2 linked regions of the Saccharomyces cerevisiae S288C genome follow. The protein of the gene in region 1 binds, or shares a complex with, the protein of each later gene. Each region holds a gene or a part of one and is shown on either strand. Other genes may lie near its edges. A codon is read from its position in the direction of its gene.

The links.
Region 2: the proteins of SIN3 (region 1) and SAP30 are in contact, whole or in part, in a cryo-EM structure (PDB 8HPO), measured with the Saccharomyces cerevisiae proteins. Residues at the interface, in NP_014639.1 of Saccharomyces cerevisiae: Leu662 (codon at 3,816), Glu665 (codon at 3,807), Phe669 (codon at 3,795), Lys673 (codon at 3,783), Thr683 (codon at 3,753), Glu684 (codon at 3,750), Leu686 (codon at 3,744), Lys687 (codon at 3,741), Ile688 (codon at 3,738), Leu689 (codon at 3,735), Asn690 (codon at 3,732), Leu691 (codon at 3,729), Tyr692 (codon at 3,726), Ser693 (codon at 3,723), Gln694 (codon at 3,720), Ile696 (codon at 3,714), Leu697 (codon at 3,711), Asp698 (codon at 3,708), Leu699 (codon at 3,705), Asp701 (codon at 3,699), Glu704 (codon at 3,690), Lys705 (codon at 3,687), Asp707 (codon at 3,681), Phe708 (codon at 3,678), Tyr709 (codon at 3,675), Phe720 (codon at 3,642), Phe723 (codon at 3,633), Val724 (codon at 3,630), Cys732 (codon at 3,606), Glu734 (codon at 3,600); in NP_013990.1 of Saccharomyces cerevisiae: Gln76 (codon at 881), Tyr79 (codon at 872), Ile80 (codon at 869), Leu83 (codon at 860), Ile84 (codon at 857), His87 (codon at 848), Ile88 (codon at 845), His92 (codon at 833), Lys98 (codon at 815), Ser99 (codon at 812), His100 (codon at 809), Pro101 (codon at 806), Met102 (codon at 803), Glu106 (codon at 791), Tyr107 (codon at 788), Thr108 (codon at 785), Phe111 (codon at 776), Arg114 (codon at 767), Tyr115 (codon at 764), His118 (codon at 755), Phe119 (codon at 752), Leu129 (codon at 722), Gln130 (codon at 719), Tyr132 (codon at 713), Leu133 (codon at 710), Gly135 (codon at 704), Ser136 (codon at 701), Lys137 (codon at 698), Leu138 (codon at 695), Arg160 (codon at 629).

Annotation. Positions count from the first base shown.
Region 1 is NC_001147.6:315,200-322,736, reverse strand, and holds SIN3 (transcriptional regulator SIN3), read right to left. Parts: upstream 5,800-7,537; coding exon 1,189-5,799; downstream 1-1,188. Other genes in the region: palmitoyltransferase PFA4, read left to right, coding at 1-879; DNA-directed RNA polymerase II core subunit RPB11, read left to right, coding at 6,562-6,924; TOP1 (DNA topoisomerase 1), read left to right, coding at 7,350-7,537. UniProt on the Saccharomyces cerevisiae protein: Catalytic component of the RPD3 histone deacetylase complexes RPD3C(L) and RPD3C(S) responsible for the deacetylation of lysine residues on the N-terminal part of the core histones (H2A, H2B, H3 and H4).
Region 2 is NC_001145.3:793,000-796,024, reverse strand, and holds SAP30 (Sap30p), read right to left. Parts: upstream 1,107-3,025; coding exon 501-1,106; downstream 1-500. Other genes in the region: CUE1 (Cue1p), read right to left, coding at 1-220; YMR262W (putative endodeoxyribonuclease), read right to left, coding at 1,358-2,299; TPS3 (trehalose 6-phosphate synthase/phosphatase complex subunit), read left to right, coding at 2,656-3,025. UniProt on the Saccharomyces cerevisiae protein: Component of the RPD3C(L) histone deacetylase complex (HDAC) responsible for the deacetylation of lysine residues on the N-terminal part of the core histones (H2A, H2B, H3 and H4).

The DNA of each region.
Region 1 (7,537 bases):
AAGCCAGAACGTTCACATCATTGTAAAACCTGCAATCAATGCGTCCTAATGATGGATCATCATTGTCCGTGGACGATGAATTGCGTCGGCTTTGCAAACTATCCGCATTTCCTTAGATTCTTATTTTGGATCATAGTGACGACTAGTGTTTTATTTTGCATACAAGCTAAGCGGATATATTTTATTTGGCAACAAAGGCACTTGCCTGGCTACTTCTTCAAAAAATCAGAACTGATTTTCTTAACAATATCGAGTCCTTTAAATTCTTTTGTCCTACTAACGATAACAATTCTTTTCCTACGATGTTTATTCAATCAAATCTTGAATGGAAGATCTCAAATTGAGTCGTGGGATATGGATCGGCTAGAATCTTTGTTCAACTCCGGAAGATTAACTCAGAAATTAATTGATAATACTTGGAGAATATATCCAGAGTCGAGGTCGTTTCAAAATAAAAAGGATGCTGAGGAACACTTGACAAAAAAAAGGCCACGTTTTGATGAACTTGTAAATTTCCCTTACGATTTTGATTTGTACACTAATGCATTACTGTACCTTGGTCCCATTCATTTATGGTTATGGCCATATGGTGTTCCTACGGGAGATGGGAACAATTTTCCAAAAAACGGTATTTCAAAATATGAGGCTAACTCCTCATTGGAAGACCACATCCTTTCACTTCCCTGGCCACCAGATGGAGGTAAAACAAACACCGTCTTCAATCATGGCAGCTCAACAATAGAGATGCGTAATGAAAGTGGCGAACAGCTAATAAGGACCAGACTTCCTCAAAATGGCAGACATGCTTCTCGTGAGAAGTGGTACAACGACTGGGGTGAATCACTAGACGATTTTGGAGTGGATGTTGATATGGAATAGAATACTCATTCATGGGAATATCAAGTATATGTATGTATAAACTGTCCCTTATAAATAGTGTCCTTTCGATTACATACTATGCTAATGACGTGTAAAAAGATTCATGCACCAGTGTATGAGTACACAAATATAACCACTGCATGTTATCACTTCTTCCTTTATGGAAAGATCGATGTGTCTTAAAAAGCTTCAAAAACACTTAGAATTTTAAAATTACAATGTTATATCGTTGACATTAATTAAAGGTACACATCAGAAGAAAGACCCTGTCGTACTAAAGATTTTTGTTCTAAATCTAGTTAAAACTACTTATTGAATCTTAGCCCCCTTGTCTGAAGATTCAGTATTCCCAGTCGTTTCTATATTATCATCTTGTGGTACAGTAGTAATGGATGCAGGCAGTACACTTGCAGTAGAGCTGTCCAAATTATCCGACTGCTCCTGTTTCGTAATTTTACCTTTTTCGGTTTCACTCTCTATTCCCTGGTTTCCAGCACTCGTCTTTGCTATGCTGTCTTTTAGGTTCTCCCATTTTTTTTGCATACTTAATTTTTGAGCCTCATCTAAATTATTTCTCAAACCAACTGCACAGTCTAGAAATTTTGATATCAACTCCTTCTTCTGAGAAACCATTCCTTTTTGAGTATTATCATTAGCAATAGTAGGATATTTGTTAGTAGCCTTACGGGTAAAAACATCGTAAGACCCGTTTTCAATATGCAGTTGGTAGGTTATAGGCTGGATCTTAATTTTCAATGTCGATACAGAGATGCCTTCGGGGGAAAACTCCTCATCTACCTCTGTTCCATCAATATCTTGTCCAAATTCGATGAGCCTTTCCAAAAATGGTATCTTCAGTTTCTCGTGCGGAATGCCTTCTGTTGGATGTGGCAGAGCATACGATGTTACATAATATTTCCATTTATCTTCGTCTGCCTTTGGTTCCTTTAGTGTCAAATCATCAAGTGCAATATATTGAATGGAAACATGCAGAGTTCTTTTATCAAACTCTATTCTAAACATATTTTCTGTGTTGGACATATGTGAGCGCACCTGCAAGCGATAGATAATTTGGTCCTTCGCACTCGTGGTGGAGGCATTTCTATCTTTAACGAACAAAGCCATTATTTCCGCAGTTTTAGCGTCAGTCATCAAGGTATGAGCATGCTTTACCAACGATTGGGTGACTTTATCAATTGTATAGAGTTTAAACGCTTTGTTATTGTAAGCTTGCCGCAAACTCTCTTCAAACCACTGATGTTCAAGATCCCCATTAATCAACCTTCTACTCAGTCTTAAAACCTGTTTGTACGCGTCTTCACCAACAAAATCTAGTCCCATTTCGGAAAGTTGACTCGATAATAAATCTAGATCTTTGGCAAAAGTAACTGTCGACCTTGTGTTGATTTCCTTTGTGACCCTTTCATTCATTTGCTTAATTTCCAAAAGCCGCTCATAAATCGTTGTCCAATGACGGAAAAATATGTAAATATTCGTATTAGCGAATAGATTAAAAATACTGCGATTTTGGATAATACCCTGAGAGTTTGCTTCCTCCACTAAATTCCCAGTTAGCCACGGATTTTTAGCTTCTTCATCGATGAGCTCTTCCTCCTCAATGGTATTAGGTTCTTCTTCGGGTGGTTCAGAGAGCTGGGGAACTTTGCCATCTTCATCATTAGAACGCTTTAGCTTTTGATATCTGCTCCTGTGTAAAATATCAAGTAAACTCATTTCTTGTTGATAGGGCCTCTTCCTTGATGCAATAGAACTGCCATCGTCAGATCCGCTAGATTCTGACACGTTTTGCTTATGGGAGTACAACGATTCTTCGATTTTTTCGAAAGAAATAGAAAAAAACAAAGAGATGAAGTATTTTAGTAAATCTTTCAATCTTTCTTTATCGGGATTAGAATAGGCTGTGGTATGGGTTATAAAAGTGTCAGCCAAACACAAGATATCATAGAAAATGTTTTTATCAGGGAAATCAAAATCTAACTGGCTCTTTGGTTTAGGAGTTAACCAGTGAATTTTTTTGTTTGTTTGATCAACTTTGATGCTGCTAATCTCTGATATCAACTGCTTTGTAGTTAATAATTTCTTGTCAGCCTGTTTAAATGTTAAGCCTAAATGATCTAATGACTTGAAAAAAACCTTCTGTTCTAACTCCCTCCAAACTTTATTCCATTCACGTTGAGCTCTTCTCCATTCTTCGTCTTTTTGCTTTAACCTTTTCAGAACGACTGGGGCTGTCACTGCAGGGTGCTCATGCAAAGCATCAATAATCTCGAACCCCCTTTCCTTATCATAAACTTTCCTTATCACTTTTTTATAAATAGTCATTGAAGTATGGCCAAGACCTGGAGGCAGTTTAAAATTGGCTTTTTCATTCTCAGTCATGTTCTCGATCTTATTTACAATTGTTTCCAAACATTGAATAGTTCTTAAATTTGATTCAATGTAAAAATCATACTCATGTCTTTCCTCTTCGATCTTGAATAGTGTTTCCTCATACTGGTTTTTACGATGAGCAATAAATCCCGAATCTTCGGAAGCCCATACAGGATGTCCAACCCATTCATCGTTCAAGACTTCCCAACACATATCATCCCTACCTGAGCATGGCATGAAAGTGTCACTTTTTGGTAGCCTCTTGTAACTTGGGCCAAATGCCTCACATAAATCTAAATCCAATCTATGTTTTTCATGAACAATATTCTCGATACATTTGGTTTTTTCTTGGTAGCCAACAAAGTTTTTGAACCACGTAAATAGTTCTTTATTGGAACCCAAGTAGAAATCTACCTTTTCCACTAAATCGTCAAGATCAAGTATATCTTGAGAGTACAAATTTAAAATTTTCAAAAACTCAGTGTATAAATGTTTATTGCCGATATACCTCTTGGCCTTTTCGAAGAAAGTGACTTCCTCATTAAGCGATATATTGTTTTCGATGGGCTCAGTGGGTTCAGGGACCACAGGCACAATGCTAGGATCTAAATCAATTTCCGGTCTAACAGGGATATCACCATACTGCGTATTTGCTATAGGACTAATACTTTGCGGGTGCTGCTGCTGATGTTGTATACTAGAAGGAGCGTACTGTTCAGTGAGAGACGTTCTTAGATCTGATAGAGGTGGATTTTCATTCGCTATCCCTTGATGTACCATATTTGGCCCGTGTTGAACGATCGATGGTAAGGGCATGAAGTGGGGTGGTTGCATGTGCTGTTGATCCTGATAGGCTTCATGTACGGTCGAACCGTTTGTTGGAGGCGAGAAGCTTCCTATAGGAGGCAAGTTTTGCTGTGGAATACCTCGGTTAGAAGGATGGCCGTAATAGCCCGAAGCTGGATACAAGAATTGCTGTTGCTGCTTCTGTTGTTCCACCTGTGCCTGTGCCTGAGCCTGAGCTTGTGCCTGTGCATGCATTTGGGCCTCATGTTGTTGTTGAGCATGTTGCTGAGCATGTTGCACCTGCTGATTGGCAGAAGCTGAAGAGTCCGGCAAGAATTTCTTGAAATCTTCTAGTAAATCAGGAGCATTTTGGAAAAGATGCGTCACTTGTGCGTAGACTTCGTTTATTGGCTTTTGCTCTCGCTGATAAGTTTGTAGTATTTCCAGAAAATGCTTGTAAATATCAGGTTGGTCGGCAAATCTAGTTTTAATTTTATTAACGTAGCTTATGGCTTGACTAAATTCGACATCAACGTTTTTCTTAGCATCTTCTTGAGGCACTAAAGATTGACTTTGTGGGATTTGGCGATGTGCAGGCATTTCAGGTTGTTGAATTGAAGGTAAACCAGAAGAAGTAGCTAAAAGAGGCAAAGATTGTTGTTGGTCTTGGTTTTGTTCCGATTGATACACACTCGAAGGCACCATTGGCACATTGGAGGGCTGTTGAACACCATTTCCATCGCTTTCTGGAAAAGAACCAAGTTCCTGTGCATCCGTTGTACCTCTACCAGATGGACTGATGTTATTGTTTACTGTCGTAGTACCCATTGGTGTAGTAACTCTAATGGGGTCGTCCGGATTAGAGGAGCATTCGATTCTATAGCCTTGGGGTAGAAAAGTATTGAACCCTTGAATCAAAATTGGATAACCTCTGAACAAAGTGGATACTCTTTCAATAACGCCCGGTGTGTCTATTGCCTGAGATTTAAAGTCCTTCATAATATCTAAAAATAAATTATAGATATCCGGACGCGAACTAAATTGAAATTTGACCTGTTCGAGGTAAGATAGGGCATCCTTCACGTTTAGAGGTCTGTAGTCAGCATCTTCATCGTGAGAATTTTCGTTGTTATTATTGTCATCGTTAGCATCTGCATGGTTGCTGCTAGGGTCAGGGGCATCAGCAGGCTGCACACCAGCGGGAACTTCCTTGCAATCTTGAGGCCGTTGCGTCGCCTTTTCTTCTTCCTGAAGACCATTATAACTTTTTGGTTCCTCTGTATGAACAGGAGCTTTTATCGGTAATGGATTGTCAAATCTCGACAAAGAAAAACTGGCGGCTCCCACTGTGGGGAGGGGAGCTGGACCAGCATTCATAAGCGAAGCGTTTATAGAGGGAGAAGAGGACGAAGATTTAGGGCGAGGGTGATACTCGTGGGGCTGTTTCAATGCTGAATCAGTTGCAATTGAGGGCATAGCATTTGAATGTGGGGGAGGATAACCTAATATGTGAGCAGCATGAGAAGTTAGAGCCTGTTGGCCATTGGAATCTCTTCTATCTTCCTCCTTAGTACTCAAGGCAGATAGCGAGGGTAAAGTAATCCGTTGCTGCTGTTGAACAAAACCGGGCTTATTTCCCTGGAGGGACGGTTCTTTTTCGTTTCTTTCGTTGGAACCCGTAGCGTCATTTGAAGTAGCCACATCGTTTGATTGCGAATTCGAATTATGCCAAACCTGTGACATTTTTGTACAATGTATAACTTGTTTCTTAGATATTTTGTCCTTTTCCAAATAACCTCAAACGAACACAACAAAAGGGTAAAGAGACTATACTGAAAGCGGTCAATAGCGTAGCCTGTTGTGGAGGGAGGGAAGTAACAAAGAATATGTGGTACGTGAATGAGCTGATTAGTTAGGTACGGTGCCTCGAATATTAGCAATGCTGGTGCGAAAAAGGGAAGACAAATGTAATAGGGAAGGGGAGTAACCGTTGTTTTGCAAATCACGTTTGCTGAAGAACTGCAAAATGAAGGCGACTTTTTTGCGAATGGAAAAAAATCACTAGAAAATCCGATATCATTACCCGTACTGGTTTATTCTACGTTACACGGGTAACCCCGCAGTGTGTGCCACACTCTGGGCAGCGCGTAACAACAGTAGTTACAAGACTGGAGTAGAAGATAGATTTTTTAAATTATAAACAGAATTTACAGACTACTGGAGAGGGATCACGGTAAGCCTCGTCGGTAAGCCTCGTCGGTAAGCCTCGTCGGTAGATCCGTGTCATGTCATGGATAATGCTGCTATCCGAGTTCAAAAAACTTGCAAGCTCAATATTATCATTACCCGGACTTAATAAAGTGGAAGTGTCCGCGAAAATTCTAGGTTCACTGCTTTGGCACACACAAGAGGTCCGTTAAAAGAAGAGCGAGAGAACTGAGCCGTGCAGCCTAAATAGATAGCTACGTAGCCACCAAACCAGATACATTTGGACACAACTGCATCATGAATGCTCCAGACAGATTCGAACTGTTCCTTCTGGGTGAAGGGGAATCCAAGCTAAAGATTGACCCCGACACCAAAGCCCCCAACGCAGTAGTGATAACGTTTGAGAAGGAGGACCACACGTTGGGAAACCTGATTCGTGCAGAACTTCTGAACGACAGAAAAGTGCTGTTTGCCGCTTACAAGGTTGAGCATCCCTTCTTCGCTCGTTTCAAGCTGAGAATACAGACCACCGAGGGCTACGACCCGAAGGATGCCTTGAAAAACGCCTGTAACAGCATCATTAACAAGCTTGGCGCCCTGAAGACAAATTTCGAAACCGAGTGGAACCTGCAAACTCTAGCCGCCGACGACGCATTTTGATATATAGGAGTTTAATACTATAGCCATAAAATCTAAACAGAATGGAAACGGACATACACATAATATACGCTCATATATATTTATACATAACTTCAATGTCTTGAACACGTAAATTTTAGTGTGAGAAACCTTTTTCACTCCGGGTAATACCTGCTGTAGTCTTCAAAAAAAAAAAAAAAAAAGAAAAAAAACCAGCCATGGAAAGCTCTTTATTTTTTTACTTTACGGCTTTTTTCCCTTTTCTTATATGATCGATGCACGTAAAGAACAACTGTATTTTTTTGTTTCAACACTAACACGAGCGCAATATTCTTTTTTGTTTTCTCTGTTACTCTAATTACCTGAGTCCTATTCTTATAGTATTAAAACAGCAAATAAAAAAAATCTAAAGGGAGGGCAGAGCTCGAAACTTGAAACGCGTAAAAATGACTATTGCTGATGCTTCCAAAGTTAATCATGAGTTGTCTTCTGATGACGATGACGATGTGCCATTATCTCAAACTTTAAAAAAAAGAAAGGTGGCGTCCATGAACTCTGCCTCTCTTCAAGACGAAGCGGAACCTTATGATAGTGATGAGGCAATCTCTAAGATTTCCAAGAAAAAGACTAAGAA
Region 2 (3,025 bases), on another chromosome or scaffold:
GCACTGTTTCCACCATCTGAGTAGTCACGGGGTGACCTCCATTGACTCTACCAGTCCTTCTCAAGGCATTCTGCGTGGAGCCCTGAGGACGTCCGTGTGCGTTTACACCTGTAGCGGATAAGCGTTGTGCTGAGGGATGCTGATTACTTTGGAAGAATTTTTTCAGAAATATAACTCCAAACACAAGAATCAAAGTGATAAGCAATCTCGAATCCTCCATGGCCAAAAGAAAAAAGTTTGCGCGATCGTAGATTGTAATGCTTTATGGCGCCTTTTATAAGAAATAGGTTGATGAGTTGTCTATTCAATGCATCAATGACAGGCCCACCTCAGTTATATTAGATCGTTTAAAATGGCGCGACAGCTACCCGCACCGTATACAAAAAGGCATTAAACTAAATGGAATACTAGCAAATAAACAAGTGTTACTGTCCATTTTAACAATTACCACCTTAAAAGTTTACATAACTTATACACAAAAGGGCTGCCTCATCGTTTGATCAACCCCGAAATTCCATCTTGAATTTCTTCTTCTGGTTTTTTACCTTGTATATAAATTGCGGTATGCAATCTGTCTCTTTAATGGAATGCTCATCGAAATGCCTTCTCACCACGTTGGCCAGGTCTCTCTTATGTATCCTTTTATCGTGCTGCCCCTGTGTGTTCCTCTTGTATGAATAAGTCTTCGCGCCCAATTTGGAACCCAATAAGTATCCCTGCAGCGTCAGGTTGTCCGGTACGTCCAATTGAAAGTGGTCTTTATACCTTCTCAGGAACGCATCCGTATACTCTTCGAAATCCATTGGGTGACTCTTGGGGCGCAGATCAGGGTGGTTGTCGGTGATATGTGTCTCTATGAGATTCTTAATGTACTGCTGTTGTGCAGCTGTGAGTCTTTGCTTCCCATTGGTTCTCCCGCTGGAGGTAGGCCCGTTATTGTTATTGCTGTTATTGCTGTTATTATTATTATTATTATTGTTATTATTGTTATTATTGCTGCCATTGTTGTTGTTACAGCTGCCATTGTTGTTACTTGCGTAACCACCACCCTGAGTGGGTCTGCCTCTCGATTCCGTTTCAGCGTTTGTATTAACTGGCCTAGCCATTACTACTCAGTATATACCTATCCTTCGATTTGCTAAACTATAAAGGAATTGCATTATCACAATAGATACACAACCGCTTTTATATAATTTCTAAGTTAAAATCTGAAAATTTCACAGTATATAAAAAAGAGCGCTTTTTCCCTTCCGGAACGGCGTTGCCTTGCTAAAACACATGCATAGCAAGAAATGGTATACAGCAAGCCTACTTAATATATCTCATTACAGTGCTATGCTGCCACCTCAAAAGCGTTTCACTTGATAAATTTCTGAAAGTTTTCGTATACACGCAAAGCGGCTTGTGAGGCATCCAGTGTCTCGTCCCATGCTCGTGCGATTTGTGCATTCAAATACTGCAGCTGCTCTGTAAGGGCCTTTTGGTATGACGGATCTGGATTGTCAATAGGATAGTCGGTTTCAGTAAGTATGCAAGTTGAGGGCAAGCTCCTGACCAGGGCATCTCCCTCTTCTGGGTCCTTAAAATTAATCCATTTGGATAGGCTCACAAAAATACGATCCGGGGGAAACTTCTTGAGCCATTGGCCCAGAAGCGTTTCCTTGGAGCCTGTGTACGAATGTAAACATATCTTGACAGAGTGATACGTCAAGAGCTCTTCATTGCAGATATCGTTTAGTTTCCCGTGGCACTTTACATCGTGTATAGAGATGGGCTTGCTTGTGTGCCTTGCCAGTCGGCAAAATCGCCTGAATACTGTTTCTTGATGCGATAGTTTGACCTTCACTGTCGTAAGCCTTGCCTTCTCGTTCTGCATGTAGAAACCATTTGCAGGAAGTCTGAAGAGCTTATCAAGACCGATTTCTCCAATCACACTAACCAAAGTGTCGTTAAACTCTCTTTTTATATACTCTTCAAGATCTAGAGGTTCGGGAAGCACCTGAACCAAACTGTCGAACTGTTCTTCATTCTTATACTCCAGTACATCTTGATAGTGAGAAACCTTGTCGCGCCGACTTCCCACATAAAATAAGTGGCTGTACCAAGGATGCACACCAAATCCCACGCATATATCGTTTTTACTTGTGCTTCTGCCAGCCAATTTTTTCAAATTGTTCCAGTCATATGGGTTTGATGACATAACGCAACGCAACGTACCCTGGGACCCTCCATCATCACCGCAGAATGTGTTGTCTGGGTCGGTTATAACATGACAGTGGGCATCAACAAGTTTATTCATCTACTTCCTCAATGAACAGCGTAGTGTAACACCTAACCTCGATAGAGTTGCAATTGCCAGTCTTCTAAAAGGGCCCTTTCTTCCCTACGTAATCAATTGTCCTCCTGGGCTTCGCGCGGTGCCCCTGGAATTAATTAATCCCCTTCAGCACGCAGCAACGGCAACTCCAGGGAGCATCAAGTGGACGAGCAAACATTCAATAGTATTAAGTCTAAGACATAAGTTTTAAGTACCGTTGCTATTCCGCTTCATCTTTTATCACAATAAAACAGTACAAACGTTATTGCAGGTCCTGGCTTTATAATTTATTGCTTCCTATTCAAAAAACCACAGACTAATAACCACGGGCAACCTCAATGACTATTATCGTCGCTTCTTTATTCTTACCATATACCCCTCAATTCGAGGCTGATGTCACCAACTCGGATACTGCTAAGCTGGTTGAATCAAGTATGATCAAGGTAGACTGCAACAACCAGGAATTGAGCAACAACAAGCAAGAAAGAAGCAGTTCTGTAACTTCGGCAAGCTCTCATTATATTGGCTTACCTCAGGAGGCGCAAATTAACGGTGAACCCTTACAAAGGGCCAATGTGGGCTCTCCTGCTACGGGAGTTAACTATCATAATGAGATGGAAATGCTTTCCTCAGAGCAATTCCTGGAAGAGCTGACTGCCAATGCCACTCATGCAGCAAACTCTGGTATTCCGCCAGCTAATAACCCAG